Rattus norvegicus: one gene and its partners. The main gene of each other region encodes a partner of the protein of the gene in region 3 in a complex. Links are inferred from orthologs where the notes say so. Each region holds a gene or a part of one and is shown on either strand. Other genes may lie near its edges.

Region 1 (10,296 bases), on a different chromosome or scaffold from region 3:
GTTTGTGTGGGTTTTTTGTTTGTTTGTTTTTGAGACAGGGTTTCTCTGTGAAGCTATGATTGTCTTGGAACTTGCTCTGTAGACCAGGCTGACCTCAAACTCAGAGATCTACCTTCCTCTATTTCCCAAGTGGGCCTTTTTCTTAATGTTCTGTAGTACATCTCACTATGCTATGATGGATGATTAGGACATATGCTTTAAAATTAGATGATAGCTGGATTGGACGACCAGGTGGATGATTAGGGTACACGCTTTAGGTTTTTTAGTGAGCCGCTCTCATGGTTCCTGACTTATGATGGCTCAATTTACACTTTTTGACTACATACAGAAGTAGTATGCATTCAGTGGACGAGGCATTAACTTTTGAATTTTGTTCCTTTTCTACAGCAGCACTATGTACTCTGCTGCAGTGCTGGGTAGCAGTAGGAAGCTTATGGCTTCTGCTTACAGCTGGCTGCTCTCTCATATGATAGTTTACATTGTACTCTGCTGCCAAGCCATGTAGGTGATCTAATAATATGTTCACCTTTTTGATACTGTCTTCCTAACTTCTAATGATATTATCAGGACATAACATTAATCATGGAGGATCTGTATATCTTTTGGAAACTTTGTGGTTAATTTATTGGAAGTAGAGATCTCAATCCAAAGTTGAAAACATTGTTAAGCTTTATTTATTTATTCCCAGAATGAATATTTAAGTTTTAACTAGGCACATATGTGCATATTAAGAAACAAGCAGGCTTTTGCTACTGTTTTCTGAAGTTGTAGTCCTTTGCAAGTTGGAAACTCGTGCTCAGTTTCTTCCATCAGAAGAGTAAATAGCCTATTGTGAATAGCTTGCTAATTGGACTTGTGAGAATACTTCCTTTTTAGTTGTCTTCTTGTCACTCATAGCCTTTGCAATTTTAGGTATTTTTTGTGTTATTAATTTATTTAAGTTTTTATTATTTGAGTTTATTTGGGTTTACTAATTTAATTTATTAAAAACTAAAGATGGCTAACCATCTGTATAACTATCTGCATTCCAGCTTATCTGTATTTTAACTTGATGATTTTATCATAAATTTTAATTTGTTGGAGTTGATATTTTTATGAAAGTACACTTGACTTATTAAAGGAAAGTCTGTTTGAAAGTAAATGACACTTGAAGAAGGTATTGTATCAACCCTATGATGGGTATCCAGATGGGATAATCCAGAAATTCTTTAAATGTTGGTAAGAACACATGTTAGAAGTGTAAGTTCTTATAATAGGGTTGGTTCAGATGATAAAAATAGGAAATTTGGTATTTTTACATAATTAGTAGATAGTGCATCTTTAGGATATTAACTGAAAATAGCCATATATACCTATGCCTTTTGGGAACTCTTTGGAGGTTTTTACATGGTTTTCATTCATATTCTGTCATAACTAGAGATTTTGCTACCTTAAATCTCAACGATAGATCTAACAGGCAATAGTCAACACCAGATAAAATTTTTAGATTTTGACTAAACAATGTTATAGTTACCCTTTAACGTTAGTGTTAGTATTTTCCCCTTTATTGCTTTAATGTTTAAGAGTAGAGAAAGTAGAATATAGAACATTTAAAGAAAAGGATAGTACACTGATTTGGAAATGGGACTCCTAATTGCTATGGAATTCCCCTTACTGTAGAAAGTTTCCTTCATCCTCTCTAGAGTTTGACCTCACTCATAAGGCTATGAGTTGGGTATTATAAAGCATGAGATCTATACCAAACTTTATTATAAAAGACTCATTCTACGAAGCTTAGACTTGAATTATATATATTTTGCAGAAGAGAGAAAGGGCCTGTTCATATGTCTTTGTTTGCCAGTCTTACTTTATTATAAAATACCGAGGTATTGCTCCAGGTCTCTCACCTGGGAATTGTGATTCAATAGGTCTGGGACTGCATTGGGACCTGGGAATCCATATTTTTGGTAAGTTCCCCTGGTGATTATTATCATTGGGCAAGTTGGGGAAATAATGACTTACAAACCCTACCTCATCGATGCAGTATTTAATTTGGTAATGGTTACCTAATGTTACTGTAATAAAATAAGTTGAGCATGTGGCTAAGAGCAGCCTGAGCCTGGAGAACAGTCTGCTGTAGTCTGATTGGTTAAACGTGTTTAAACAGGTTCAGTGTGAGCCCAAGGACCTCATTTAAGGGACATGATCTTAGTATAATGAGATATTTAACTAGGGTCTGAGGCGGGGCTGCATTGGAATTTATTCTGATATCTTTCCTACAGGATTTTTCAAGAGAAGTCATGATGTAAAGTGATGGTTAGGGCTCCTTTCTGTTTTTAAATGTTTCAATTCTTAACTTTGTCATTTAGTTCTTGACAGTCTGGAAACTAAAACTGACCTTTGAAATTGATTTCCAGAGAATAAACTACAAAAATACAATTAGTCAAAGATAAACATTTATTTTGGTTTTGTTAGTTTTATTGCAATCTTTCATAGAAATTTTCTTTTGCTAATGGTAGAAAGCAATGTTAATGTTAACAATAAGTAAATAAAAATAAATGGTAAATCCACAAGATACTTTTTTATGAATCTTCATCTTCTTAATATAATACCTAACGTATTTGTGCTCAGAAATTACAGGTAGCTTTTCCTCTGCTTTAAGTAGAAATGTGCAGAACTGGTTTATAGTTAGGCTTCCTGGCTTGGTTTAAGGTCATCTGTCTAGGATTGTATTTGCCTCTAATTGTATGCGATTGCTGGAAGGAGAAATGATGTCATAACTGAGTCTTTAATTCTGAACAGTTCACTGCTTACTAGAGCCACCGAAAGGCTCCTCATTTGTGAGAGGAGGCGTCTCCTTTCTCTTTAAGATGGAATGTAGTTTAACTCAGCCACAAGAGATGTTGGCCACTTGGTGTCTCCTTCCTGGTTCTGCTGAGAGCATGAGAGGTGTGCATAACCCCTCATGGCTGTGGCTACAGCTCCATCTGGCAGCCCTAAACTAGCTGCAGAGACTGAAAAGAACATGTCTGTGGTAGCCTCTGGTGAGTAAAAGACCCTTTTTAAGTCCAGTGAGATTTATATAATGTTTAGAAGCTGATGAGATTGAGTTGATGGTAAGGGTTAACTCACCATTGGACTGTTTCAAATGATTATTTACTTCTTGGATACTTTTCATTTTATTTTTCTTGATCATTGTGAAGCATTTGAATGGTTGGACATAAACCAGTCCTCTGTCTTGTTTCTGCACTATAGTTGTAGGCGTAAGTGGAAAACAACTGATAATGGAAATTTTGACCATTTTTTTCTCTCTCCTGCCAGGGAGGACATGTATGCTCAGGACTCTATAGAGCTACTGACAACGTCTGGCATCCAGTTTAAAAAACATGAGGAGGAAGGGATTGAGACCCAGTATTTTGCAGAACTTCTTATGACCTCAGGAGTGGTTCTCTGTGAAGGGGTCAAATGGTTATCATTTCATAGGTAAAAAATAAAAGGGTGGGGGGGACATTGCAATATGCATCCATCATATATCTGCCTTATACCTGTTTGGGTCACTATACCAGCAATTCTTTGCTTAGTTCTAGTGAGTTAACTGCCACGAGCATGTGTAATACCTCACTGAGAACGTTTACCTTTTAGCAAGGCATGTGTTTTAGCCTGGGGGAGGGATTGGTGCTTAGTGGAAAGAATGTAAACTACAACCAACTTTCGTTCAAATCTGGCAAAGCTATTGAGGATTTGTGTTCCTCTTCCTTCTTAACCTTTTTTTTAAGTCTTAGTTTATGTTTATATAAAGGGAGGTATTAATTTTTTAAAAACTTGATAGTACTTTCCTGATGTTAGCCACTGTGCTGAGATGCTAAAACTGAACACAACAGACTAAAACTTTCCCTCCCATGTACTTTCCATTCTTCTAAAGGTAAAGCAGCAATTTGAATGACGTAGTGTCTAGTGTGGCATGTTATACAATAATAAGTGTTACGAAGAATTGATCCACAAAGACAAGACCAAGAACGGATATGTAGGAGGTTTTTTGGTTTTGTTTTGTTTATTTTGCTTTTTGGTTTTGTTTTGATGAGGTGATTGGGAAGGCTATCCTTAGAAAAAATGTCTTGCAGATATTTCTCAGTGGTTGATTACAACCCATACAAAGCATTTCATTTTATATACTCTGTATGTGATGATGTTTAATTCTTTATTATTATTATAAAAATAAAACCGGATAGTTAAGGAGGATTTAAATATTAAACAAGCTAGATTAGTCCATTCAATATCAAAGATATGTCTTTAAAGTCTAATCAGTCTATTTTTTTTAATTATAAATTCTGCCAGTCATGGTACTTGGGAGACAAAAGCAGGTAGATCTCTTGAATCTAGGGCCATCCTATTCTTCCAGCCTAGCCAGAGCTATATAATGAAGACTGTCAAAAATTAAATAGTATGTATATAAATTCTAAACTATAGCATTTTATTAGAAGTAAGCAAAGCCATATTGCTGTATTTTAGAGAACTGGCAAAGTTACTTCTGCCAACTATTAGTGAATTTAAGTTTCTGCTCTTGGGTACATGTACCAAAGATCTTCCATGGTAAAACTCCCCTTTCAAATTATAAGTAAAATAATAAACATCAAATAAAAGTTTATCTTGTATGTCCTCTAAAAGATAGGTTCAGTAAGGTCATTTGCCAAATATGAGTTCAAATTATAGGTGAGAAAAAGATATTTTATAGCTATAATTCCTTTCCTGTAAACCAGTGGAGAAAATCCATGTACCTAAAGGTCCATGTACAGCAGACATTTGTCTGTATAGAGATCTCTGGGTTGGGCACTTGAGGGAAGGCTTGCTGTCGCAGGCCCATCATAGAAAGTAACGTCGAAGGAGTTCAGGAGTGGAGGGACCTAGGCAGCTGGTGAAAGACTGGTGATAAGGATGTGTGACCTCAATTTGAGGCAGAAGGAGAGATGGTGTTGTATTAAAAAACAGTTCTTTTCCCTGGTTCCTACCTGCCATATTTAACTTTCCCATTGATAACTATCTCTTGGAGAGTTATACTGATATAGAAACAACATTTGGGGGAATGTACATCCTAATAAAGTCACTTAGTGGAAATGAAATACTCTGTTAGGGATTTATTCTTTGAAATTGGTGAGTGTCACCATCTCATGTAAATGGTGACAAGGTTTTACATGGTTTTTGCCTTTGAAACATTAAGTCTTGCTAGCTTATAGCATTTTTCATATACCTTCCCATTCATCGTGTCAGTGACCTTACTGAACCTATGTTTTGGAGGTGTGTACTTGCATGTGTATATGGTGGTCATAACACTCAGATTTTACTTGGACGTTTGGGATCAAACTCAGGTACTCATGTTTGAACAGCGTCTCCCCAGCCCAGAATTTTACGTATCAGAAAAATATTATTTAAATGACTATAGAGTTAAATTGATAATATCATGTGTTTAAGATGCTGAGTGATGAATTTCTGCATTACAGTTATGAATGTTTCTCTTTTCATTGCTCCTGTTTGCACATTGTTGTTAATCCTTTTGCCTGTAGTATGACTTATTTAGCTTTCTACCTGAAAAACTAGGTCTTTCATGATATTAATGTATTTTTTCTGTATTCTTTTAATCTTTTTATTAGTGGTTATGACTTTGGCTATTTAATCAAAATTCTGACCAACTCTAACTTGCCTGAAGAAGAGCTTGATTTCTTTGAGATCCTTCGATTATTCTTCCCTGTCATCTATGATGTGAAGTACCTCATGAAGAGCTGCAAGAACCTCAAGGTGAGGCTTCGGGAGACTTTACCTGGAGCTTGAACAACCCTTTCACAGGGATCGATTGAGACCATTGGGAAACGCAGATATTTATGTTATGATTCGTAACAGTAGAAAAATCACAGTTATGAAGAAGCAGTGAAAATAATTTTATGGTTGGGGGTCAGCACAACACAACTGTATTAAAGGGTCGTAGCATTAAGAAGGTTGAGAAGCAGTGATTTAGACCAAGTAACTTCTATAATATCTTAGGCCTGAATGTTTTAAGCCATGTTTTAAAGATCATGTTAAACACAGTTATATTATCTGATCCTGTTGTTCTTAAGTAGTAGACGGCCCTCTTCCAAGCTGCAGTGTTCATCTTGACAGGAGAAGGTTTGTTTTGGGTTTATGTTTTGATTGGTTGGGTTTTTGTTTTGTCATAGATTTTTTAAATTTTATTTTATGTATATGGGTATTTTGTTTGCATGTGTATCTATGCACCAAATGTGTGCCTGCTGTCTGAGGACATGAGAAGAGGGTATCCAGTCCCCTACAATTGTAGTTATGGATGGTTGTGAACCACCATGCTGTGCTTGAGCTGAACCTGGGTCCTCTGCAAGAACATCAAGTGTTCTAACCTGCGGAGCCATCTTTCCAGCCCAGAATAAGGTTGATTAATATATTAATTACATTAAATATATTTTATATACACACACATTCTGTGGACGTTCATAGTAAGAGGTAGCAGAGGCTAGAGGAGAGCGCTAGACTCCTCTGGAACTGAGTCATGGGTACTCGTTAGCTGCAGTGGGTGCTAGGAACTTGGTCCTCCACAGCAGCAGTGCTCTAGGGGCCAACTCTTTAGCCCCTAGAATAAATTTTTTAAAAAGTCAAGCTAAGGGCCAGGTTTTTGTTATTGATGCCAGATTGAGAATCATGAACTGAAACGAAAGTATGAGGTATAGCACACTTACTGGGCCTATTACAGCGGTGCTCACACTCCCAGCACACAGAACTATCCTAAAGATACAGGTTGTGGTTGACGAGCAGCGGGCAGCGACATTCAATACTGTTCTAACGTGGTTTTCCTGACTAGAGACTCTTTATTGTTTCTTGTTGAAGTATGTTATTATTTACATAGCTAAAACTGATTAGGTTTAAGTACTGTATAGTAAATATGTAGTTTCCATATAGATAGCAGCTTATTCTGATACTACTTAAAATATGTGACCATTTATTCTTAACCTTTGAACAAAATAAATGTTTCCTGATTAAAGTACTTCGGTTTAAGAGCAAATTCACCTGAGTTGGCAACGGATCCCTGGCAATACAGTGAGTGGGTTTTTAGTTGCTGGATTTTAGTGTGATATTTAAATTATAACTAAGGAAACAAGTGTATTTATAGCCAGTATTGTCCCTCTCTTCAGTAAAACCAAGGTTGGTCAAGTTTCTTTAGGCTTTAGAAAAGTGAATGTGTAAGCTTTGATTTCAACAATTAACTGAGAATTGCAGGACACAGGTGTTTGCCTCCAATATAGGTGTGGTGCCATATAACTGGGAGAAGTTCTTTGCAAGATTATTTCAGACTATCAGCTGAAAGTTGTAGAATTCTGTGTCATTTGAGGTTTCCTCATAAGTGAACTCCAGCAGAGTATTCTGATTGCTTACACAGATGGGTGGCATGCTGAGAATCTAAGTCTGATCTGGCTCTGACGTTTTTGTTTTTGGTTTTTTTAATTGACAGCTTGGTATGATAATAGTTTTCATAAATAGTCCTAACTCTTTACTCATCTATATATTCAGAAATGCCTAAAAATATATCAAGTATTTTCTTGTGTGCTGTGTGAGCTGCTCCCACTGAAAGTGTATGTTAGTGATAAGGTGCTGCCAGTCGTTCACATTTAGTCTGTGTCTGTATTACCAGTGGCTGCTAAGGATACATAGTGCACACAATGCTGTTTAGCACAGAAGTAGTTGGTGGGCAAAAGTCCTATCAAGCTAGGATGGGACTTCGGAGGGCCTGACTTGCTAGTAAAGCCTTTGTAATTTAAGGAGAGCGTTGATTGGTAGTAGTCTGCTTCTGTCTGTCTTTTATTTCTTCTCTTTTCCTTTCACATTCTTTATTTTTCTCAGTCATGGCTATATTAATGTAAGCATATCATAGCAAACCATTCTAAAAGAGTTATATCTGTAAAATTCTCTTCTTAGTTGAGAAAATGAACATTATGTGGCAGACTGACAGCAGTGGTCTGAACACTCGTGCTGTCTTTGTTTTATTTAGTTGTAAATACTTCAGGGGATGCCTAGATATTTAAAAGGAAATGCCTGTACTCAATACTGAGTTTTTAATGAGTGATGGCACAATACACTGAGTGTGACTAATACCTGTTACCCTGAATCTGATCTACTTCCTCCATATCTGTAGAAAATTGTTTGCTTGTCACATGCCTTAAAATGTATAATTAAGATAAAATTTTCCTATTAGAATTTCATATTTGGTAACAAGGCTTTTATGGTCCACAAATGTATTGCAGATTAATATTTTATCAATCCCCTTGCCATCTTTACAAGGTTAATCTTTACATATTAAAAACTTATTCATATTTTTGTCAGTGTCTAAATGTATAGTTGTGAGTTCCAGTCCCAAAGTCTTCTCTTTGACAAGCGACTGTTCTTCCCTCTAGGGTGGACTGCAGGAAGTTGCTGAGCAGTTAGAGCTGGAGCGGATAGGACCTCAACACCAGGCAGGATCTGACTCACTGCTTACAGGAATGGCCTTTTTCAAAATGAGAGAAGTATGAAGACATCAGTGCCTTTTTCTTGGTTGTTAGGTAGAGAACATTAAAAGTCTGATGACAAAAGTTTTGGGCATTAAGAACCTACTAAGTGAAGATATAAATAGAGGTACTATATAAGTTACATCCACCACATTTGAATGAAAGTGTTAAATAAGTCCTCCTGAAATGTCATCCAAAAAGGAAAGATAATAAATTCTTTATAGAATAAAAAATTCTTTTATTCTGAAATACGTTGCTTACAGAATAAAGGATTATGTGATTGTAGAAGTCATGTACATATGAACATACTGTTTTTTAGATGGACAGAGCAGAGGCTAGTGACTTTAAGCTGAAAGTTAGTGAGGGAACACTAGAGGCCTTTCTTTTTTTTTTTTTTTTTTTTTTTTTTTGGTTCTTTTTTTCGGAGCTGGGGTCCGAACCCAGGGCCTTGCGGTTCCTAGGCAAGCGCTCTACCACTGAGCTAAATCCCCAACCCCACTAGAGGCCTTTCTTAGACCCCACAAGTGCCCTTCTGAGTCAGGGAATGTGTGTCAGAGTTTCCTTAGTTTGTACCTTCTCTTTCTTGAAAATGGTGGTGAGAATAGATTTGCTCGTCTTTCTTTGCTTTGAGGGTTTTATAAAGTAGAACTTAAAGTTTTTACTAAGTCTTAAAGGGCTTTTTGAATTATAGGTATTAATTAACTCTAAAGTCTGATATATAGTTGAATTAAAAGCTATTTCAGGAATTCCCCCATTAAGTACTTCAAGAATAAAATTGATAGGAGTAGAAGGGTGATGTGTAGTGGAACGAAGTCTGTTTTTAGGATAGATAACCATCCTAGTGATAGATATCACGGTTACCTCACTGGTGGTAATAAAACAATATTTAGTTATAGACACATACACACACATATAGATCCTATTTTTTGTTTGGTACAAGTGTGTGTATGTGTTTGTGTCCTATTTTGGTTTGGTACAAATCGTGTATGTGTATGTGTGTGTGTGTGTGTATGTGCATACACACACACATGCATGTAATGCATGTATGTATGTATGTATGTATGTATGTATGTATGTATGTATGTATATAATGTACCTACAGAAACACATTTTTACAGAATACTTGCTGTGGAATTATTTTGAGTGTATTCTCTTGGTAGAAGTATGTTATTGATACAAAGCATTTGATCTGTGTTGCCAGGTAGTATCAATTTAGAAGTTACTTGAATTGTCCACTTACGCAAGTAAATTGTTTAGTTTCAATATAGAACCACCTTTTGGATTTTTATTTTAAAAATGCCTTATAGCTAGTTAATGGTGAGTTTCTGGCACCAGTTTGTTAGCTTTATTGCCCTTGGCTTCAAGGCTGGCAATGTAGTGAGAATGTTCAGGTGTTTACTATCTATAACATGTTTAGGGTTTGGTTAATTTTAATCAATTCAGCCTTGCACTTAGACTTAAGACAACTTAAAATGGTGTAACATCTCCTCTTCTTCTGCCATTATCTCTCTCATTCTTTGAAGGTTGTTATATTAAAGAAATTAAACGGTCTGCATGTTTTTATGCTCATAAATTCTCGTTAAGATGAAGTAAATGTTAATGAAAAAGAAAGACTTGCATTTTAAAGGGTCCTTGAGCCCTGTAGTGAAGGGCGTCAGTCAGTCTTATTCGTTAAATATGCAGTATAGCTTCTCCAGGGAACATCACGGGAAAGAGTTGTTCTACCTAATTAATAGCAATTACAATGTTGAGATATAAACTACAGGTCATATCATTT
Region 2 (10,396 bases), on a different chromosome or scaffold from region 3:
CTCAAGACACTTACGTCAGGTTGAACTTGAAGTTGAACTGCCACGTGTTGATTCCAGAAGGGTACTCCCCCTTCTCATTTGTGAATGTAAGGCCCAGCTGGATGATTTTTAGAAGGTCAACATTGCACCGCAAAAGCTGATACTGGTAATCTATGGAGCTTCGAAATTCACCAATCGGTCGTACAACAACACCTGGAAACTCTGTGTCCTGGGAACAAAAGCCTCTCACTATTAAGTCTCACCTAAGAGTGGGTGCTCAGCAACTCCTGAGCAGAACTGCTCTTCAGTTTACAGAAGCCCCAAGATAAGCTCCCCAAGGTCCCACAACACAACACAAGCCTGGGTAACTATGAGATGTGAAGTCAGGTAGAACTTTTTAATTTATTCATTTATGGGGTTGGGGATTTAGCTCAGTGGTAGAGCGCTTGCCTAGCAAGCGCAAGGCCCTGGGTTCGGTCCCCAGCTCCGGGGGAAAAAAAAAAGAAAAAGAAAAAAAATTTATTCATTTATTTCACATGCATTAGTGTTTTACCTGCATGTATGTCTGTAGGAGGGTGTCAGGTCCCCTGGAACTGGAGTTAAGGACAGTTGTGAGTTGTCATGTGTGTGCTGTGATTGAACCCGGCTGGGTCCTCTGGAAGAACAAGTGATCTCTCTAGCCTCAGATAGGAACTTCCAGTACGAGTTAAACACAAATGCAGCCACGCAGATGTGGTGCTCACAGCAGCTTCACCCCTTCACACCAGCTTCCTGCTGTGACTTTCGGTGCACGAGAAGCCTGGCTGACAGCCTACTGTTCAGAGCTCCCACCTTGGTCTCTTGTTTGGTTTTTTTTTTGTTTTTTTTTTTTTTTTGGAGTTGAGGACTGAACCCAGGGCCTTAAGCACTCTACCACTGAGCTAAATCCCCAACCCCGTCTCTTGTTTTTTAAGAAGGATAAATGCAGCCTTTCTTTTTCTTGAGTGACTATTTCACTGCCCTGTGTACATAAAACCCTTTTTATCCTTGTAAAGCTCAGACTGGCCTATACTCACTGGTCTTGAACTCCTGATCCCCACCCTCACACCCACTGTTTGGGATGACAGGATCTTAACCGGCTGGGAGGCCTGTGAGGCTAGTGCCTCTTTTGGACAGAGGAGTGAAGGCAGGGTTTGAAGACAGACAGTAGCAAGCGCCAAGCCTGCAGTGGAACTGAACACCTGCTTGCTCAGGGGCTAGCCTAAGAAAAGCACCACCTGACCCGACATCAGGCAGGAAAATAAATGAGGCACTGATACCAGTCCTTCCCACTTTACCCAGAGACGCCAGAGCTGCAGTGTGACATTGCCTGCCTAGTTCGTGCTAGCAATAAAATGTGTGAATATTTTGAAAACACAGGCCGAGCATGTTGGTACATGCCTATAATCCTAGCACTTGGGAGACGGAGGCAGGAGGGTCAGAAAATTGGGTCATCCTCTTGAAACACAGCAAGCTCAAGGTTAGCCTGTGTTACATAAAACCCTGTCTTCAAATTTAAAAAATAAATAAATACCACGTGTTCAGGTTCACTATGTCTAAGGGGCTGGGGCAAGTCAGACACTAGAGGACTTGCCCAGCTCCACACACACTGGGCACAATGGTGCACACATATCTCAGCACCAAGAAGGCAGAAGCAGGAGGACAAGCACAAGGCCTGCTAGGCAAAAATAAAAATATAAAAACTTTCCATCAGAGGAATATTACGAAAACTTGTGTCAGAAGCTGTGCCCTCCTCAGAGACACTAGCTGCCTTGACTCACAAAAGCATGCAGGTTCCAGTCATTTTAGCCTCCCTGGCTTTGGTGGGGAAGGCCTACTCACCATGGCGATGTAGCTGTAGCTGAGGACAGTCTCCCGGATCTTCCGCATCTCCTCCTCAAGATTGCTGGCCCACACCTCACAGATGACCTGACTGTTTTCTACAAGTGCCGCAGGCATCCTGAAGGCACCTGAGGAGCCACTGTGAGCCAACTATGAAAAGAACAAGCCCCCTTCTGCTTGATTTAATCTTCCACACTGGATCCAATCTAGATTTAAAGACATTTAGAAACCACAGTAAGTTTACATCGTCGTGTAAGATGTAAACACATCAGTGTTAGGCTGACTCAGTGACCCGGACACAAGGTCCTAACACTCAGCAGGCCCAGGAGAAGGATGCAGAGTTTCAGACCAGCGTGGACTACATACTGAGTCCACTCAAGGTCAACCCGAGCTACACAGCAAGACCCTGCCTGAAAACACACACACAAACCAGCCTTACCATAGCTTCATTAACAGTGCATTAGGCACCCACTACCTATGGAGTGCTTGCACTGGCCTTTGTCAAGTTTGTTCTCTCTCCATACAAAGAAAACGCTACCTGTTGACCTGAGCCCTTAACAGGACATTAAAAATGGAAAGTTATGCCGGGCGTGGTGGTAGGACTTGCCTTCAATCCAGCACTCGGAGGCAGAGGAGGCAGATAGATCTCTGAGCTTGAGGCCAGCCTGGTCTACAAAGCAAGTTCAGGACAGCCAGGGGTACACAGAAAAACCTGTCTTGAAAAACAAAAGGGGCTGGAGAGATGGCTCAGCAGTTAAGAGCACTGACTGCTCTTCCAGAGGTCCTGAGTTCAATTCCCAGCAACCACATGGTGGCTCACAACCATCTGTAAAGAGATCCGATCCCCTCTTCTGGTGTATCTAAAGACAGCTACAGTGTACTTATATATAATAAATGAATAAATCTTTAAAAAAAAATGTAGACACAAGACCCTCCCATCCCTTTTTTTGTTTTCTTTTTTTTTTTAATAATAATAAGAATACAATAAGAATACAAGGGTGGTAGGACTGAAGAAATACTTCCAAGGTTAAAAGCACTGGTGGCTCTTACAGAAGACCCAGGTCCAGTTCCTAGTACCCAAATGGTGGTTTACATTCAATCATAATTCCAGGTTCAGGGGATCTGATGCCCTCCTCTGGCCCCAACAAGCACCAAACAGATACATGGTACACAGACATTCTGTAGGCAAAACATTTATACACATAAAGTAAAATAACTAAAAAAGAAGAGGTGGCCAGTAAAAATAATTCAAACAGGAGCAGACTGGCTGATGGCGCACACCACAGTATGTACTCAGCAGGATCAAATTCAACATCACCTCAGCTCCCAGTCACTACAGCAAACCAGCACAAAAGGCTCACTTATGAACAGAACAGAAAAGGCTTCTGATAGCGCTTAACAACCTCAGGCTTGATCCTTGGCCCCAAAACACACACACACGCACACCCCTAAACACAAGTTAAAGGCCAGTGTAGCGATACAGGGAAACCCTGGGGAGAGAGGTGCATAATGGCACAGAGCTTCCTTATGAGGCGAAGCCCACTGTATGGATCCTCAACAGGACAGGTAAAGGTGAGCTGCAGTGCACATGCGTGAAAACTTCAGCAACAGTAAATGAACGTGAGGGGTTTCCAAAGCCCAGAGGAAGGAAAAGCCTTGTCTTCCAGCTCTAGAACTGACATACAGTAGACTCCAGAAGACACTGAGGACCATCCTCAGGGCTGGCTACTTCTAAAGAGACCCGTTCGTTCACTCAAGGCAATCTATTCTTCGCAGGAGCTTCCCTGAGACTGAACACTGAGTGGTGGCTCTCAACATAAAGAAACATGTGGCAGCTGCCTCCTGAAGGCACAATCCATTTCTTCTCCGGTTTTTCTTTTATTAATAAAGGCTGGCAAGTGAACTAGCAGAGACTAGGAAAGATGCTCACTCACAATGAATGCCCAGTAAATTCAACTTCCTGACAACTGAGAAAATGTTTACTCCAGACTTCTCCAGGCCGGCCTCTGAACTTGTAAAAATCCTCCTGTTTCTGCCTCCCAAGTGCTGCAGCTATCAGCATGAGCCACTGCACCTGGCTCTTGAAGTCACTTCCCATGTCTGGTTACTGAAAACAACAACCTTGTTTCCCTAAGCAAGCCATAAACTACATAGCAGGGAAGTGGGTGTCAGTCCTGGACTGCTGAAAGTTGTTTCCATTAAAACACAGGCATAAAGAAACAAACTGCCTAAAGAAAGAGTTTGTTTCGGGAAGCCAACCACTTTCAAAGCTACTGTTACATTATTATCAGGTAAAGGGCAGCCACACAGGAGCAGACACTGGCAAAGACACACAAGTCATCCCTGCAGCAAACCTTTCCCTAGCAAATCTGTGCAGATACGATCGGCAGATTTCAGCCCAGGAAAGGCAGATCCTTTCCAATGAAGAGGATGCCTGTGCTAAAACTTGGAAAGTTCCAGATCAGCCTTGGCTTCAGACCCTATAATTCAGATAGATCCACAAGGGATCCTTTGCAGACGTACAAGGGAGATCACATAAGGCACATTTTACTAAGCAAGTGAACTTTTTGGCATGCTGGCCACAGGGAAGAGAGAAAACAGCAACTCCACACAGGCAACCAGCCTCCTCCACTTTCCACCCAGGGAGCCCAGGCTCTAAGAAGCAGCACACTTCTTTTCTTCAGCCTCTCTTTCCCATACCTCAGATGAAGTGAGTCTATGTTTTCAAGTACAGTTATTAGTATAACAGCCCCTGAAGTAACCTCATTATTTAGGTTACAACCAGAAGAGCAATAATGAATTTCACGACTTAAAAAAAAAATGGCATCCTGAGCTATATACACTCAGAAATAAGACAGCAATCCCACGCTCAGGAGGCTGAGAAAGGAGTCACCAGGCCAGTTGGAGGAGACCCTGCTTTTATTTCACTGTTCTGTTTTGTCCTTTGAGACAGGTTTCTCTCTGTAGCCCTGGCTGTGCTGGAACTCACCGTGTACACCAAACAGGCCTTGGATTCGGAGATCCAACTGCCTCAGCCTCCAACTGCTGGGGTTAAAGGCAAGTACCACCACAACCAGCTGCGACCCTGTTTTTAAAAGAAAAGAAAGCAAACTAAACCAGTCAGTGAGCCAGCTGAGCAACTTGGCACATGTGTACACACAGATGATGATGATGATGCAACTTGGCACATGTGTACACCAATAATAACAAGAACAACAACAACAACAACAATAATAATAAAGGGGTTGGGGATTTAGCTCAGTGGTAGAGCACTTGCCTAGAAAGCACAAGGCCCTGGGTTCGATCCCCAGTTCCGAAAAAAAGAACAAAAAAAAAAAATAATAATAATAATAAAGCTTAAAGCAGAATGAGGGCTGGAGTAATGGCTGAGCAGTTAAGAGCACTTGCTGCTCTTGCAGACCAGAGTTTGGTTTCCAGCACTCATGTGAGTTGGCTCACAAATGCCTGTAACTCCAGCTCCAGAGAACGTTGACACCTTTTTGGCCTATTTTTGCCACCAACACACATGGCATTAATTGCAAATTCATACACTAATAAACATTAATCCCTAAAAAAAAAATCCTTCAAAGTTCTTCAGGAAGGTTCAGAGGTTGAGGCTGCATTCTCCTCTAAAGATTTATTTTTATTCCATTTATTTATGAGTATGTGAAAGAAGGGTTGAGTGCATCAACACCTAAGCGATCTCTCCAACTCCTTAAAGGAAAATTTTGATCCCATGTAATGTTTGCCTCACAGGCTGGCTTTAAAACTTGATCCCCAATCCAGCTACATTTGAAACTGCAAAGCAAAAGGTGTTCTCACACTCACATACATACACACACACCTTGCTCTGTGTTCTCACACACACACATACACCACAGACACACGCACACCCTGCCCTGTGTTCTCACACACACAGAGACACAGAGACACAGAGACACAGAGAGGGGGGGGGGAGTGTGTGTGTGTATGCGAGCGAGCAAAACAATCTCCTGATTGAAACCGCTCCTGATTATCCAAACTTCGGAGCAGGGTCTCTGTGCACCCAGGTGAGCAGTAGTGCAAGAAGTGCAAGCAAGTGAGAGCTCAAGAAACATGCTCTCCTTGCTAGCCTTGCAGACAGTTCAGCTGAGTGTCTCCTACTTGTCTGGTTTTGTTTTCGCCAGAGCGTCTGGGAAACAAAAAGCTTCACTTCCCTGTTCCAGAAGACTAAACAAAAGGCTTAGCCGAGCAAGACCGGCGAAGGAGGAAGCAGCGGCCCGTTAGAAGAAATGGCAACAGGTCCCCTCTGGAGCGTTCCAGGCCACAGCCCTGAACTCAGACGGCACCCCATCCAGCTTGCTGGCTACCCGAGAGCGGCTCTGCCACGCAAAGCTGCAGCACCCCAAGATCCAAGCAGAGAGGCCTCTTGCCTTCCCCCCGCCTCCTTAGGCCTCCAGGCTGGACTTAGGGGACCAAGAGCCCCCCTAGCCTCAGTGTTCCCGTGTGTAGGATGGGTCGCCACGGAGGCACTTCCGCCTCGAGCTCCTACCCTGGGCAACCCAGCCTGCTTACCCTGGCTGGCGGCCCCGCCGAGTGCGGGCGGCAGCGGCCCTTGACCCCGAGCTCTCCTCCCTCTTGCCCCGGATCCGCTCCAGGAACCCAACACGACAATGAGACGCAAGCCCCGGAGCCCAGAGCGGCCTACGATTTGCAACAAACCAGAAGGTTGAGCCTCTCTACCCTTCGGCCCTCCCGACTCGCCTACTCTTCGCGTCACTCGAGGCGTGCGCGGGCCCGCCAGTCTCGGCTCCTCCCCCAGTGCGCGCTCAGATACACGCGCTCCGCCTTCTTGCGCAGGCGCAGAACGAGAAAATTAGGGTTTTCGGAGGGCGCGTGCGCAAAACGAGGTATGCCCTGCGGCCTCAGACGGCGTCAAGCTGTGTAAATTGGATCCCCTTCTGGGTTCTGAAATATCCTAAGTCGCGCCTCGGGAGAAGACGGAATCTAGAGTTGGCCCCACTTCCTGACATCAGGGCGTATTAGGACTATTGGTTGGAGGTGATGGTGCAGGGAACATGGGGTGTCCTGACCCTCGATTACTGCGACCTGAACTCCTCACTCAGAGAACATCTATCCATAGAACCCCTTCTGAATGGCCATTAGGTGGGGGTTTGGGGGGCGCCACCAAATTAAGTCTTAACTGAGGTCAGCTGAGCACTGCCTCCCAGGACCTAGACGGAACGTTGTCTTGGCAACCAGCTAGCATAAGCAGCGCTGCACCCGGGCCTGTGCAGAGAGAGGGGCCAGTCCCGGAGAGGGTTCAGCTGGCAGCGAGGCCATGCTGGGATGCATCGCCATCTCGTGCTCTCCCACGCGGCGAGAAGACTAAGGCCTCTGAGGACCGCCTCCTCCTCTAGCGCAGCTCCAGCCTCCATCCCTGGTGCTTCCTCTCCAAGGGGCTCTGTAGGTAGGCGGACAGCAGGTGTCCCCCTCTGACGTCCCATCCCCCAGTTACTCTGCCCTTTTTATGTTAAACTTTTATTCCAGAAGTTTTTTTTTAACTTTTATTTATTTGTTTATTACGTATAAGTACACTGTAGCTGTCTTCAGACACACCAGAAGAGGGCATCAGATCTCATTACAGATGGTTATGAGACACCATGTGGTTGCTGGGACTTGAACTCAGGACCTCTGGAAAAGCAGTCAGTGCTCGTAACCGCTGAGCCATCTCTACAGCCCCAGAAGTGTTTTTTTTTTTTTTTTTTTTTGGTTCTTTTTTTTTTTTTCGGAGCTGGGGACCGAACCCAGGGCCTTGCGCTTCCTAGGCAAGCGCTCTACCACTGAGCTATACTATCTAAATAAGAGCTAACCTTTTGAACTATTACTCCAGCCAGAGAAGTGAAATCTCACAGCCAGCCTCTGGGGTAACAATGTCAAGGACAGTTTCTGAAGCCCAACCTTTGCTGCTTCTCTCCAGGATCTGTAGAGACATAAGATTGTGATGAGGGGGCTGGAGAGATGGCTCAGCGGCTAAGAGCACCCGACTACTCTTCCAGAGGTCCTGAGTTCAATTCCCAGCAACCACATGGTGGCTCACAACCATCTGTAAAGAGATCCGATGCCCTCTTCTGGTGTATCTGAAGACAGCTACAGTGTACTTATATATAATAAATGAATAAATCTTTAAAAAAAAAAAAAAGATTGTGATGAGGAAGGCAATAGCCATCACCACAAAGAATGAGAGGTCTGTGTAGTTAGTAACTGTAACTGCCGTAGATTAACTCTGCAACAATGTTGATGGCACTGACTCCACGCCTGGCCTCTTTTGACGTGTTCGGGTTGTCTAGGCTAGTTAAATGCTGCCTTCCCTCAGTTGGCTGGTTCAGTACGAGTCTGTGCTCTGTTCTGTGATTCAATTCAGGGGAGGATGGACCTAGCATGTGCTAGTCATGTGAGGAGCAGCCTCTGAATCCGATTCAGGAGAGGTTGGACCTATTATGTGCTAGTCACGTGAAGAGCATGGAATTTTTTTTTCTTGCCACCAATAGGCCTGGTGTGTTCTGAAAGAGTTGAACAGGAAACACCTGGTTTCCCCCGACACCCTTCACCTAGAGCTTTTCACAGAATGTTAATTGTATTTCAGAAGGAACTGGAGTGACTTTCAAACTGCAAACAAGAGAAACTAAAGTTTGAACAAATTTCTTCAACTGAAAAAGCATAGTTTTGAAAGTACAGAGAAACATGGTTAGAACATAGATCTTTTCAAGAGCTGGGCCGTACCTCTCCATGGGCAGCCTGGATTCCTAAATGTTTGGTTTTGGACCCTGGGACAAGGGATTGAAGTGCATATTTTACACATCAAAGCAGATCTGGCCTCCAAATTCTCCCAGCATCCCTCAGTCCCTACCTGGCACACCCTGGCCCCAACCTTCAACTTTCTAGCCCAGGGGCTGGGCTGCCCTTCCCACAGAGGCTCCTCCCTATATAATCCAGCATTTTGGTCTCTCACCTCCTCCTCTTCCTCTCTCTGGGCTAGTGCCTCTTTCTCTCTTTCTCCCTCCCCTATCGCCCCTCTCCCTTAAAATGACCTTGGTCCTTGGTCCAACCAGAACTTCCCAATAAACCTGCCTTTAATCTAATCTGATTTAAATTGGCGCTCATTTCACGAGGGGCAGGAAAATAACCTATCACTATTGTCTCCAGTTCTAAACAAAGGTATGCCTTGCTCAAAAAGAAAAAAGGTACAAAGAGCGACTTTAGAGCACTGGCTGCTCTTCCAAAGGGTCCTGAGGCCAATTCCCAGCAACCACATTGTGACTCACAACCATCTGTAGTGGAATCCAATGCCCTCTTCTGTTGTTTCTGAAGACAGCAACAGTGTGCTCATATACATAAAATAAATCTTAAGAAAAATGTACAGGTCTGGAGAGATGGCTCAGTGGTTAAAAGCACTGACTGCTCTTCCAGAGGTCCTGAGTTCAATTCCCAGCAACCACACGGTGGATCACAACCATCTGTAATGGGATCTGATGCCCTCTTCTGGCATGTGGGTATATATGCAGCATACATACATACATTAAAAGAGCACTCATACATTAAAAATATATATAAAAAAAAGAAGAAAAAAAATTTTTTTTATTTTTGAGGCAGGGTTTCTCTGTGTAGCCCTGGCTGTCCTGGAACACCACTGAGCCATCTCTCCAGCCCTTCTTAATTTTTCAAAAAAGATAGTTCATGCCTGTTATCCCAGAACTGAAGAAGCTGAAACCAGAGGATTACCAAAAGCTCCAGGCCAAACAGGACTGAACAGGAGATATTGTCTCAAAATAGATACTTTTTTTTTTTTTTCGGAGCTGGGGACGGAACCCAGGGCTTTGCGCTTGCTAGGCAAGCACTCTACCACTGAGCTAAATCCCCAACCCCAAAATAGATACTTTTTTAAAAAGTAAATATAAAGACAGGTTAAAGGTCAGTGAGAGGGTTGCGTGGAGAAAGGCCTGTCCCCAGGACCCACATTCTGACCTTCACGTGTGAGCCACAATGACCACACACACACAAATAAATACTCCTGAAAAAATTTAAACTGACAGATGTGGTGGTACATGCCTTTAATCCCAGTGAGTTTCAGGACACCCAGAGAAACACTGAGAAACACTGTCTCAAAAACCCTTAAAGTCCTGGTACCCAGCCTTCACTTTACACCTGGCTCCTTTGTCTTTCTGTGAACGTGGGCCTGTTTATAATTTATGGAATGTCTCCTAGGCGGAGACCAACCAGATCACACTTCCCTGCTTCGTCCCATAGACTCTCCTCTAGATAAAGACCGACCAGACCATGCTTCCCCAAGCCTGCCTCAGTATACAGACCTCTCACCCAGACCCAGTTCTCTGTTTAAATCTGAAGTTTGTATCCGCGCCTTCAAAGATGGCAGAAATTTTTAACCTCCCACATTTCCAAAACAGCTATTTCAATGAAACCTCTTTTAGCCTCCAGATACATGCATATTTCTTTCTAGATATTTGAACAATTTAATTGTAGCTGAAAAGGTGGTGGGGGACTCCTATGTAAGGATTTC
Region 3 (10,296 bases):
ACTGTACTCTCCAGTACTTTTTCACACTGGCCTAAGAAAGGCTATGGAACACTTAGGCAACTGTGACCTCACGTCTACAGCACTGGTACAGCACACAGTGAAAAAGATGTCAGGTAACTTCAAAAGGGTGTTTGTGGGTTGTCCTATTAAAAACATTTTATCTGGATAAAATCTCTTATGAATAAGGGCATAAAATAATCACTATATTTTCCAAGTTAGTTTATTTCCATTCACTATACTTAAGGTTATAATTATTAATTACAGGAACTATTTTATCATTCCTAACACTGTTTGGTTAAAAAAAAAATAAGACCTACAGCATTAATATTATTAATAAAAAGAAAATAGAATTGTTATACATATGTGAATGGCATTCAGAGGCATATCCCTAAGATTACTAGTAGATCAGCATACCGTCTGAACCTAAAGCCCTACCAAGACAGAAGATAAAATGAATGCCTGAGGACAGAAAGCTACACTCACCTTATCCCTAATGTGAATGTTTGTTAAATATTCTGACGGAACATGGAAGTCTGCATAAAAAAAAAAAACAAACAAAAGTGTTATTAACGGATTCTTAGAAAATATCTTTAAAACAATTCTGAATAGAAATAGATTCTCCTACCTATATCTTGAGGTCGACAAGGTGAAGAAGCCCAGGGTGATGCAAATTTGGGGTAGAGATTTCTGAACAAGAAAGAAAAAAAAAAAAAAAAAAAAAAGAAGCCACTTTAAAGAATGAAGTAGAAAACTATTACTAACTTAATTTCAGGAAAATGGAAAAAATAACTCAAATATAAAAGTAAGCATCCTTCCTGGTTTCCTTTATTAAATATACTGCAACTTTATAGCAGAAAAACAACACAGGAGTGCTCCCTCTACTATCTTAGAATAGAAAATAAAGCACATCACATTGAAATATACTTAGGCATAAACTTTAAATGGTCTACTCTAAATGTGCTATAATTAACAATGCTTTAAATTCATTTCTACACTACTCTCCAATTACATTACTTTCCATGCCCCTCACTCAAGCCTGCAATGAGGAGCAGCCAGATTCCCTAAATATGGATTTGAGTGCCTATTAGATGCCCCCAGAACTGTTCAAGGTGCTCTGAATAAGTCAAGGGATCAAAATGAAGGCTGCTGATATTGGAAAACTTACTTTCTGTTTAAGTGTATGGTGAACTGGACATTGGCAAGTAATTAGTATAACAGATAAATAATATTGTTTGTATAATTAAATAGGGTGGTCAGTTTAAGTTGGTTTTGACAAGCTTAGATTTAAACAAATATTCAAGGATATGAGGGAGATAATCACAGGTAATTAGTTAGTAGAACACTGTAGTAGTCAAGGCAAATATCAGAACAACTGAGGCAGGACGTGACATGAAAGGCAGTAGAAGGCAGCCAGGGACAAGAAAGACAGGATGATGTGAACAAACATGGCAGAGCTGCTGGTCAAGGAGGAGTTTTTAAATTAGAAAGAATGATCTTAAGTGCTACCTATAAAGCTATACAAAAAGCACGAAGAGAAGCAAGGATCCAGCCGAGTGACCCGCTGGCAGAATATTCAGGCAACAAACCAGGGTGGTAGCAATTTCATGAGAATAGGATTGGATTCTGTACCTATTTTAGAAGACTGCATCTGAGAGAAAAGGAAGAAGAGAATTAAGGATGGTGTCAAGTTTCTGAAAGTATTAATGGAGACCAAGAGAGCATAGACACAGTGTAGATTTAAACCAATCTTAAAAAGATATTTAGCTAGTAAAGGTATCTAAAATCTCAAATTCAAGAAAAAAGTCTTCAATGGGAATATGTGTTTGGAATTTTCAACCTATGTGGTCCTTAAAAGCACAAGTCTAGATAAGATCATCAAGAGGACAGAGAGGCCTAATCCAAAGGTCAAGGAGAGGTGGTGTGAAAGGGAGACTGAGGAATGAACCAATGCTATCAGGTAAGAATGACGTCTTCAAAATCAAGTGAGGAGTGAGCACCAAGAGAAAGTGAGCAGATCATGGTCCACAGAAGTTAGGGAGATCATTTGGTAATGCACAGTTTAGTGAAACCATGGGAACAGAATCTTAGCAAAACTGGGTTTAATAGAGTGAGAGAAGACAAATTAGAAAAATCAAGATGATTCATTTGAGATGGTTTGCTTCAAAATAGTGAATTAAAAATGTGATGATAGCTTAAAGGTGGTTGACTCAAGATCATGTATTTTGATACGATTGGAAAAATAAGTTATCTCTACTGACTGGAATTGACAAAACAGAGTAACCTGGAAGGAAATCATGGCATGTGTCTGTAATATCATCGCTCAGACAGAAGCAGAAATGCTTAGTTAAGGAGTCACACTGGACTACAGCAGCAAAACCATTTCCAAAGTCCTGGCGGGTGTGGGGGACATGGCTCAGAGGTAAAATGCCTGCTTACTGTGTACAACACTGGTTTGGATGCCAGCACCAGGGAAAGGAGAAAAAGTCAAGATGCACACTCACGAGTTTTTACAAAGTTTTAAGTAGGAAGCATGGACCAAATACTTTGGCAAGGGCATGTCAGATTTAGACTGGTGGCAGGACAAGGTTAATGCCCTCTTCTATTTGCTTACACCTGTCTTTGTAAAGTAGAAATAGAAGCAGGTTATTATTAGAGCTATGGACAGGAGGAAACACTATTAGTGGCTTGATGAAATGCAAAACAGTCACACAGGATAACAACAACCAGCCAACAACACAAACACACCCAAAAGCAATCAAAAGGTTCTGAAGGGGTCGTGCCATCAGGTAGGAGTGTGCCTGTAAAATTCTGGACTCAGTTTTAAGTTCCTGAGCATGAGTGTGCAGCAAGACCAGACAATAAAATTGTGCTTTTCTGTAGTCCAACCAGAAGGTGGTCAGGAATGAAACAAACAGGTTTAACGATGGATACAGACTCCAAGGTGCAAGTGTGGTAAGAAGTGAGAAGGGCAGTCATGCAAGTGAGCAATTATGACTGACCATAAAATTTAATGGTGAGAAGGAAGTGAGCTCATCAAAGACCCGAAGAGATAAGAACACCGAGGAAGGCAGAAGAGCTCTAAGTCCCAATAGGATCAAATGATACAGAAGTCGCAGCCACAAGAGAGACAGGGGAAATGGTGATAGTTAGAAATCAGGCAACAAGTTAAATTTCTGGTGAGCCCACAGTTCCAAATAATGACAAGAACTATGAGATGGATAAAGATGTGGCTCGGGAGAGACCCAAATGGCTTGTACATGAATCCTTGGTGTTTCTCAGTGACAGTGCTCTATGGACTAGCTAGAAGGAATGGCCCAGGAGTAAGCAGGCTGATGAGGAGATTAGTTACAAGTCTGAGGCTCTCTGGGGTAGCACAGGATACAGGATCATGCCTGCCTGGCATTTTTCAAAAGAAAAAGCTAACAGTATGAGAATCTATTATATGTTAGAAGATATGTACAAACATGGAAGAAAAACTTACTCGGGTGAGTTCAGATTGAGGCCTAATGTTGTTAAGTCACTTCCTAAAGCAAGATGTACCATTCCCGGGTCTGTCTCTGCTGCCCTGATAAATGTTAACAGGCCAATCATTCCAAATTGGTCCGTCACCATCCCTTGAGGAATGTTAGTAACTCGACCTGGTTAAGAAAAACACAGTTATTTTTACTTTATATTAAGAAAATTAGAGGAAAAAAAGTACTTTAAAATATCTGACATATTTATGGAGTCCCACCATCAGGTAACACCTGGATCCCCTTTTTCTGCTGATTATTGTTTTGTGTTGTTGAACTTTTATCTCCAGGAAATTTGGGCCCATCTGTACTTGAAGTCGTCTTCCCCGATGTACTCAAATTCTAGCATGAAAAAGGAAAATGTGACATTAGAGGTGTTAAATATCTAAGTTTAAATTCATCAACATCTTGCTAGTCGTCCACTATTGTATTTAAGTTAGTAGTAATTACCTGTTTTCTACTCGAAAATTGTATCCCCATAACTGCCTCATGGAAAACAAACAAATCCCGTGTCTACTGTCTACATCTGAGCATTTAAAGGGCAAGAAATCCCGAGAAAATTAGTATTTTTTTTTTTTTAAGATCTCAGTCATAGATCACAGGGAGTAAAACATGAAAAATATCTTTGTCTTTCTCAGGGTTTTATGCTTTGTGGATGCACACTTCTACATAACAGAGTAATTACATACTACAATACTAAAAATATTACAAAGCAACCTCAACGATAAACTAAGAATGTATCAAGTTTCAATATTCACACTTATTTCTGTCCTTACCCAACAATCTTCTTTAAGCCCATCATACATACAAAAAGAAAAAAGCTCTCTGCCATAAATGTTGAAATAAACACACTTGTTAAATCAGAAGCTGAGTTTGCTGAATCAACACAGGTATAAAAATGTGCATAAAGATTCTTCAAGGAGAAAACTTACTCAAGAAAAACACAGCTCCTTAGAAGTCTATATTATCAAACTTCATGGGATCCAGCTGACAGGGACTACAATAAAAGTCTAAATTAACTGACAAGTTCAACAGAAATTTGCAAACCTATATGAAATAGGAAAAAAATGGCTATCTTCTAATTTATAAAGCTTTCTACATTCTTCAGAAGTTAGATTATTACAGTGCTCAAATAGTTCTGTGGCAGCATCTAGTCAGTAGCTATTAGTGTAGGGCAAATCTAAAGGGAGAAAACTATATCCCTCACATCCATGTCCTCAGCTACTTACAGACTTGCTGTCGTCATTACTCGACGTTGGGTCTTTATAGCTGGAGCCAGGTAGTGCTGGGAAATCTTCGTTGTGTATTGAGAAGTCCTGGGATTGCTCATTTGCAGGTTTTGTTACCATTCCAACTACGCAATGAAAATAATCAAGAAAGCTGTAATTGAATCTGTGATACTGTCTTATAAACTATATAAGAAGCTAACTTTGCTTATCACAATATACCAAAAGTTCTTTTTAAAAGCACGTGAACTGATAACTCAAAAATTAATATTCAGGATAATGATAAAGAATGAAATTTTGATTTACTGCTAAAAAAATGCAACATATAAAGCATACAAGGAAAACAAGTGGTAATCCTGTAATTCTAATCTAATGTTATATAGGTGCTTAAAATAGTATTTGATATATTGGTAATAATATTTAAAATGCTGGCTTATAGGCTAGCTTTAAATATCTCACTACATGCCATAAACACCAGTTAGCTGTCAAATGAAAATGAATATAATAAAATTTAAAAGAACATGTCAGTATTCTACTTAAAATTGACTTACAGAGTGAGCAATTTGCAACCAATTATAAAACAATTCCACTTTATTTCTCATTTTCTTGGACTCCATGTTACAGATGTAAAACATGCAAGAACTGGGAAATACTCTTCCCACTATACTTGTCATTAGTCGGGCCCTTATTGGAGAACAAAATCCAGTTTGGGGCTCCACAATTCAAGAAGGAAATGGAGAAACTAGAGATGGTCCAAGGAGAGCAACGGGAATGTTTAAAGGGATGAAAGAAAGGACCTATGGGGAAAGGTTAACAACATTAGCGTCTCAACTGAGAAGCAAGCAGCTAGGCACGCAACTTCAGGGCACAGCACATTCTCTTATTTTGGGAAAACAGATTTGGAAGGTTTAAGATATACATGATCAATAAAGTTTTTCCTCCACACATTATTTCTATTCATATGCAGAAGTATGGAACTTGAAACCCTTATGGAGAAAATATTAGCTCCATTTTAAAATAACTGATGAAGAAATTCATCTAATCATTGCCTCGATCCCAGCCTCTATCAGATCTCATCCACGAGTAACAACAATCTAGCTATGCTGACATCACAAATGTTTCTGTCTCCGTTGTTATACTGTCACTGCAAATGCTTTTCTTAACATTGTTATTCAGGCTCTACTACCCGAATCTCTTAACTTATAGACTGTAAAAAAGAGTGACTGGGTTATTAATCATAGCCAAGAATCTACAGAAATACAGAATCATAAGCACTGGTTCTCACAGGCTTTTCAAGAGGGCATTTGCCAGTATGCAGAAACGTGTGCCACATGGATGGCAGGATAGCCAGTGCTGCACACAGCGGTCATTAGCGTTGATAAATGTCCTATCTGAATAAGTGCCCTCAGACTACCCTCCTCCTGACATGAGTCTTCCAGGCCCCAGTGTGACTCAGGAGACCTCTTCACTCAGAGAGAGATCTCAACGCAGTTATTATTAGTCACCAGGGATATATTCTCTTAAAGGGGAGGGGGAGGCAACTAACAAAAGCCAAGTCACAAAACCAATCACATATAATAAATTAAGGCACATAGAATAGAAGAAATAACTTTTGAATAGCAATGAAATCAAGTACTTAGATTTCTGTACTAAAGTTTACTACTCAATTTTGCTATTGTAGATATATGGAAAGAAAAACCAATTTTCAAATTAAGATTTCTGACAAAATAGAGCTAACCTGGTTTGAAACATAAATGCATACAAGCATGCACACATAAACACGCATGTGTGTAGTACACATGACTGTAACCTTTAGTTGGCCATCACTAAGAATATGAATTACCGTAAGGGGCTCTTCCAGCCAAGGGGTTTATTAATGGAGTTGGGTTGCCACTTCCTTCCCTTCTATTCCGGTCTGCTAATGCTGGGAAATCTGAAAGGTCCAATCCTGTCACATTTTCACTGCCATCTAAATGATAAGAGATAATACTTGTTACTGATTCCACAAACATCTACAATGACACACAAAAGCCAAACATCTCACTGGAAACAACAGTGTCGTCTTCTTTAATAGTGCAGTGTGGTGTTGTAGGCACATGACAGTGGACACACATACTGTGGATTCTGTGGACTGATTTTGTGTCATGGAATGAATTCCCTAATAACTGAGGAAAGCATTCTACAGCCAGCATCTTAAAACACCCAAGTCTGGAGATGTAGAAAAAGAGAGGAGTTGTACATTATTTCCCCCTGTTGGAAGAGGGCAATAAAACTTAGTGCTTCTTAGGGAACAAGAACTACACTGTTTAGCTGTAACTGCTCTTTTCATTCAAACTGGATGGAGCAAGATCTAGATGACTTGGGAGCTTCAACTCTAAGATACGATGACATTAGCTCTTGCAAAAGTCCAGAAAGATTTTGAGGCAAACAGAGGAAGCCCTGAGGACTTCTGTCATATATACTTTAGTTTGAAACAAAAATGTGTACACATGTATGTGTTTGTTAGCTCCATGCAAGGATGGACTCCTAAGTATCAGGAGTAGGTGGGGAATAAAGATCAAAACCCAGAACTTTATATTGCCTGTTACACAGTAGGCGCTCAATAAATATATGGAATAAAGATGTATGTATTTGTTTTATATTAAACTGCTACCATTAGACATAAACATTTAACCCAACTTCTCTACTTTGGCTATTTTAATTATTTTTCTCTCAGCCTTTCATGTTCTTAACCTGTATTCTAATTTTGAACCACTTAATTTTCTACCTACAATTTAACTGTATACAATCATTCTTCTTTATCTTGTGCCTTGTTTTATAAGCATGTATAGATTTAGGGCTGCTTTCCAATTAATTTTGATTTTTCTGAAAAATTTCACAATTAAAAGCATCATAACTACTATTCTATAAGTAAGTTCACTTATTAAACCAAGGAAGGTGATAATTTAAAATTACAACTATAAAGGTCAAGATAAGCCATTTCTCATAAATTATTTTTTTAATTTCCATTAAAAATACAATAAAGCAAAATAAATTAAAATTTTATTTACTGATTAATTTATAAGTTAGTATCTCTCATATTATGACTAATTATAAACTTCTTCAAGTAAAAATTAAATTTTAATACATAACATTAGATCTTTCCATGTCTAAATGTCAAGTATTATGTGAGAATATATTTTAACCAACAATTTATAATTTTTCAACTAGAAACTTAAGTCTTGAAAATAATTTTTCCAGTATAAAATCCAAGAATTTAAAATTTTGAGACTTTATAGTAGCATATAAAAACACTGAATTGCAATGTGAGAGGCAGCCAGACCTCACACACTGGGTATGAAAAGTGTGCTCTTTAAAGGTGATCAAGTATAGGACTTTGCTTAAGAATTAGAAGGTTGACGGATTTTAAAGTCACACCCAGAAAACTATAATTTTCAAATGCTTATAGACTTCCATTCTGTCAATGGTTTTAATCTTGGCTGGTCCGCTTCAGTTGTTCAACAAGCCACCAGAACATGCAGAAGCTAGAAGCCTACAGCTACCACAGGGCTTCCTTTAGGTCTTCTCCTGCGGCGTATGCATGCTACCTTACAACCTCTCCTCTTACTGCCACCTTCACGTACAGAGTGCCCAGGAACACTAACTCTGGTCCTATAACCATGGCAACACCACTATTTTCTCATCACCAAAGCACCTAGAGGCAAGGCAAGCCAGCAATACCTACCACTCACTCCCTGTTTATTTCCTGCTAAAGCAGTTGCTAAAAGAAACCAACAGACTTTAGTTTTTGCCAAAAATCAAGTTAGTTTCCAGGTAGCTCAATCTTATAGATAATACTGAATCAAAATTCTTAAGGATTAAATGTGAAAATTTTCATTAAAGCTATTTTTAAAAATGAAGTGCGTCCTACGATTGACAGATTCTCTTCAATCCATGTATCTAAAATCAAAATGTCCTACCATTCAACCTAGTCTACACTCTTGTTAACACTCAGTGATAGGGCAAAGGACAGGAAACATTTTGAAGAAAAAACCCAAGATTCTGAGGCACAAATATGGTCCAAATTAGTATTTACTCTCTTTAGATGTTACAAAATAACTGTGATAATAATTGTGCAAGGCCAAGTTGGGGAAAAAAACATTTACTTTCTGATGTTTTCTTAAATCCTATCCCTGACAGTTTTCCACTAAACTAAATTCTGTTTAAAACAGTAAAATCCTGCTGCTATTCAGAGACCAGTGCGCCGACTTGCTTGTATTTCAGAATTCTACTGTACTTTCATTAGGGTGCTAGCTCCAGAGTAAGCTTACCTGTTCCATTAAAAATGTTACTTGATAAGGAGTTATTCATTCCAAATGCCTGATTCCTGTTCATTCCAAATCCAGACATACTGGGTACATAGAAAATAATTTTAGATATACAGTAAGAACACTAAGTTTGAGATGAAGAAAAATAAAAGTATATGCTTTGGGTCTCCTCATATAAAACATCAATATGTTTCAAAACCAATGCTAATTTGAGAATAAAATCTTTATTTCAATTTTAAAAATTCTCTAAAATTCTTCAATGAACAAGAAAGAAACAATTTAAACAAATAAATTTTAAAAACCGAAAAAGAAACTTGGTTATTACTGTTGAAGAACAGAGATTAAGAATCCATTCAGAGCTGACAGTGAGCTACCTTGTTGGGGAAATGCACCAACCTCGACAGTATGCAGGTAGGGTTTAAGATTTCCCTCCCAAACCATTCATTCCTGACTTGTAAAGCTTGCTTTTCAGTGCAAGCCTTCTCTTTACAACCCGGTCTTTCCCAACTATTCTTTCCCCTGAGTCTATGTCCTATTCATTCTCTGCCCCCTGGTGTTAAAATTTCAAGGTATTCAATAAATGTTGAGTTGACCTGAATTAAACTGACTAGGTACTTAGAAAACTGAATTCAGTGTTCTAAAACTCATCACTCATATCTTAAATAGAGCTTAGTTTTCATCTACTTAACAGAAAGAAAAAAAAACCTCCCTATAGTACTTCCATTTTTGAATTAATGCGTAACTTGATTTCTGCAAATAATTATAAATAACTACTTTTTGTACAAACATAAGCAAAACAAAAAAAAAACTGTATTCAAAAGACCAGATAATCAAGGATGTCGATAAGAATTATTAACAAGATTCTACAAAGAAACTTTATCATTAAATGGTCTTCTCAGAGGTTAGTATCCCAGTGCAGAACAGGACTAAGCCTCTGAAGATGACAAGTGTAACTTTTCTGTCTAATGCAGTAGAACCAGCCACCTCTTGCTAAGCTATGCGGCTAATGGACCAATAGTCCACAGCAAAGATAGCGAGTCAACAAACATTTCTGCTGTTATACTAGAGCTGCTGGTTGTACAGGCACCTTCAAACACAGATCTAGTACTCAACTGAAGCTTTCTCATAGTGAAAACAATTTATAAGGCGTACACATAAGCAGAAATTCAAGTTTTATTACAGTGACATTTTTTGCAAAGTACTTTTTGAATAATTAAAATGTGAAATACAAGAAAGTAAAAATTTTAAAAT

The links.
Region 1: Cnot2 (region 3) and Cnot7 share a complex: the UniProt entries of both Homo sapiens proteins name them as parts of the CCR4-NOT complex. The link is inferred for Rattus norvegicus from reciprocal best matches to the Homo sapiens genes CNOT2 and CNOT7.
Region 2: Cnot2 (region 3) and Cnot8 share a complex: the UniProt entries of both Homo sapiens proteins name them as parts of the CCR4-NOT complex. The link is inferred for Rattus norvegicus from reciprocal best matches to the Homo sapiens genes CNOT2 and CNOT8.

What each region holds. Positions count from the first base shown.
Region 1 is NC_086034.1:58,486,124-58,496,419, forward strand, and holds part of Cnot7 (CCR4-NOT transcription complex subunit 7), read left to right. Parts: intron 1-1,907; coding exon of another isoform or gene 1,908-1,946; intron 1,947-3,300; coding exon 3,301-3,462; intron 3,463-5,624; coding exon 5,625-5,769; intron 5,770-8,426; coding exon 8,427-8,537; intron 8,538-10,296. UniProt on the Homo sapiens protein: Has 3'-5' poly(A) exoribonuclease activity for synthetic poly(A) RNA substrate. Its function seems to be partially redundant with that of CNOT8.
Region 2 is NC_086028.1:42,778,283-42,788,678, reverse strand, and holds the start of Cnot8 (CCR4-NOT transcription complex subunit 8), read right to left. Parts: upstream 6,434-10,396; 5' UTR 6,394-6,433; intron 6,378-6,393; exon of another isoform or gene 6,252-6,377; intron 5,159-6,251; exon of another isoform or gene 5,085-5,158; intron 4,951-5,084; exon of another isoform or gene 4,925-4,950; 5' UTR 4,829-4,924; intron 2,046-4,828; 5' UTR 1,957-2,045; coding exon 1,840-1,956; intron 209-1,839; coding exon 15-208; intron 1-14. UniProt on the Homo sapiens protein: Has 3'-5' poly(A) exoribonuclease activity for synthetic poly(A) RNA substrate. Its function seems to be partially redundant with that of CNOT7.
Region 3 is NC_086025.1:54,025,310-54,035,605, forward strand, and holds part of Cnot2 (CCR4-NOT transcription complex subunit 2), read right to left. Parts: intron 9,129-10,296; coding exon 9,049-9,128; intron 6,708-9,048; coding exon 6,582-6,707; intron 5,536-6,581; coding exon of another isoform or gene 5,357-5,535; exon of another isoform or gene 5,290-5,356; intron 4,867-5,289; coding exon 4,742-4,866; intron 3,855-4,741; coding exon 3,734-3,854; intron 3,639-3,733; coding exon 3,482-3,638; intron 688-3,481; coding exon 626-687; intron 534-625; coding exon 484-533; intron 1-483. UniProt on the Homo sapiens protein: Component of the CCR4-NOT complex which is one of the major cellular mRNA deadenylases and is linked to various cellular processes including bulk mRNA degradation, miRNA-mediated repression, translational repression during translational initiation and general transcription regulation.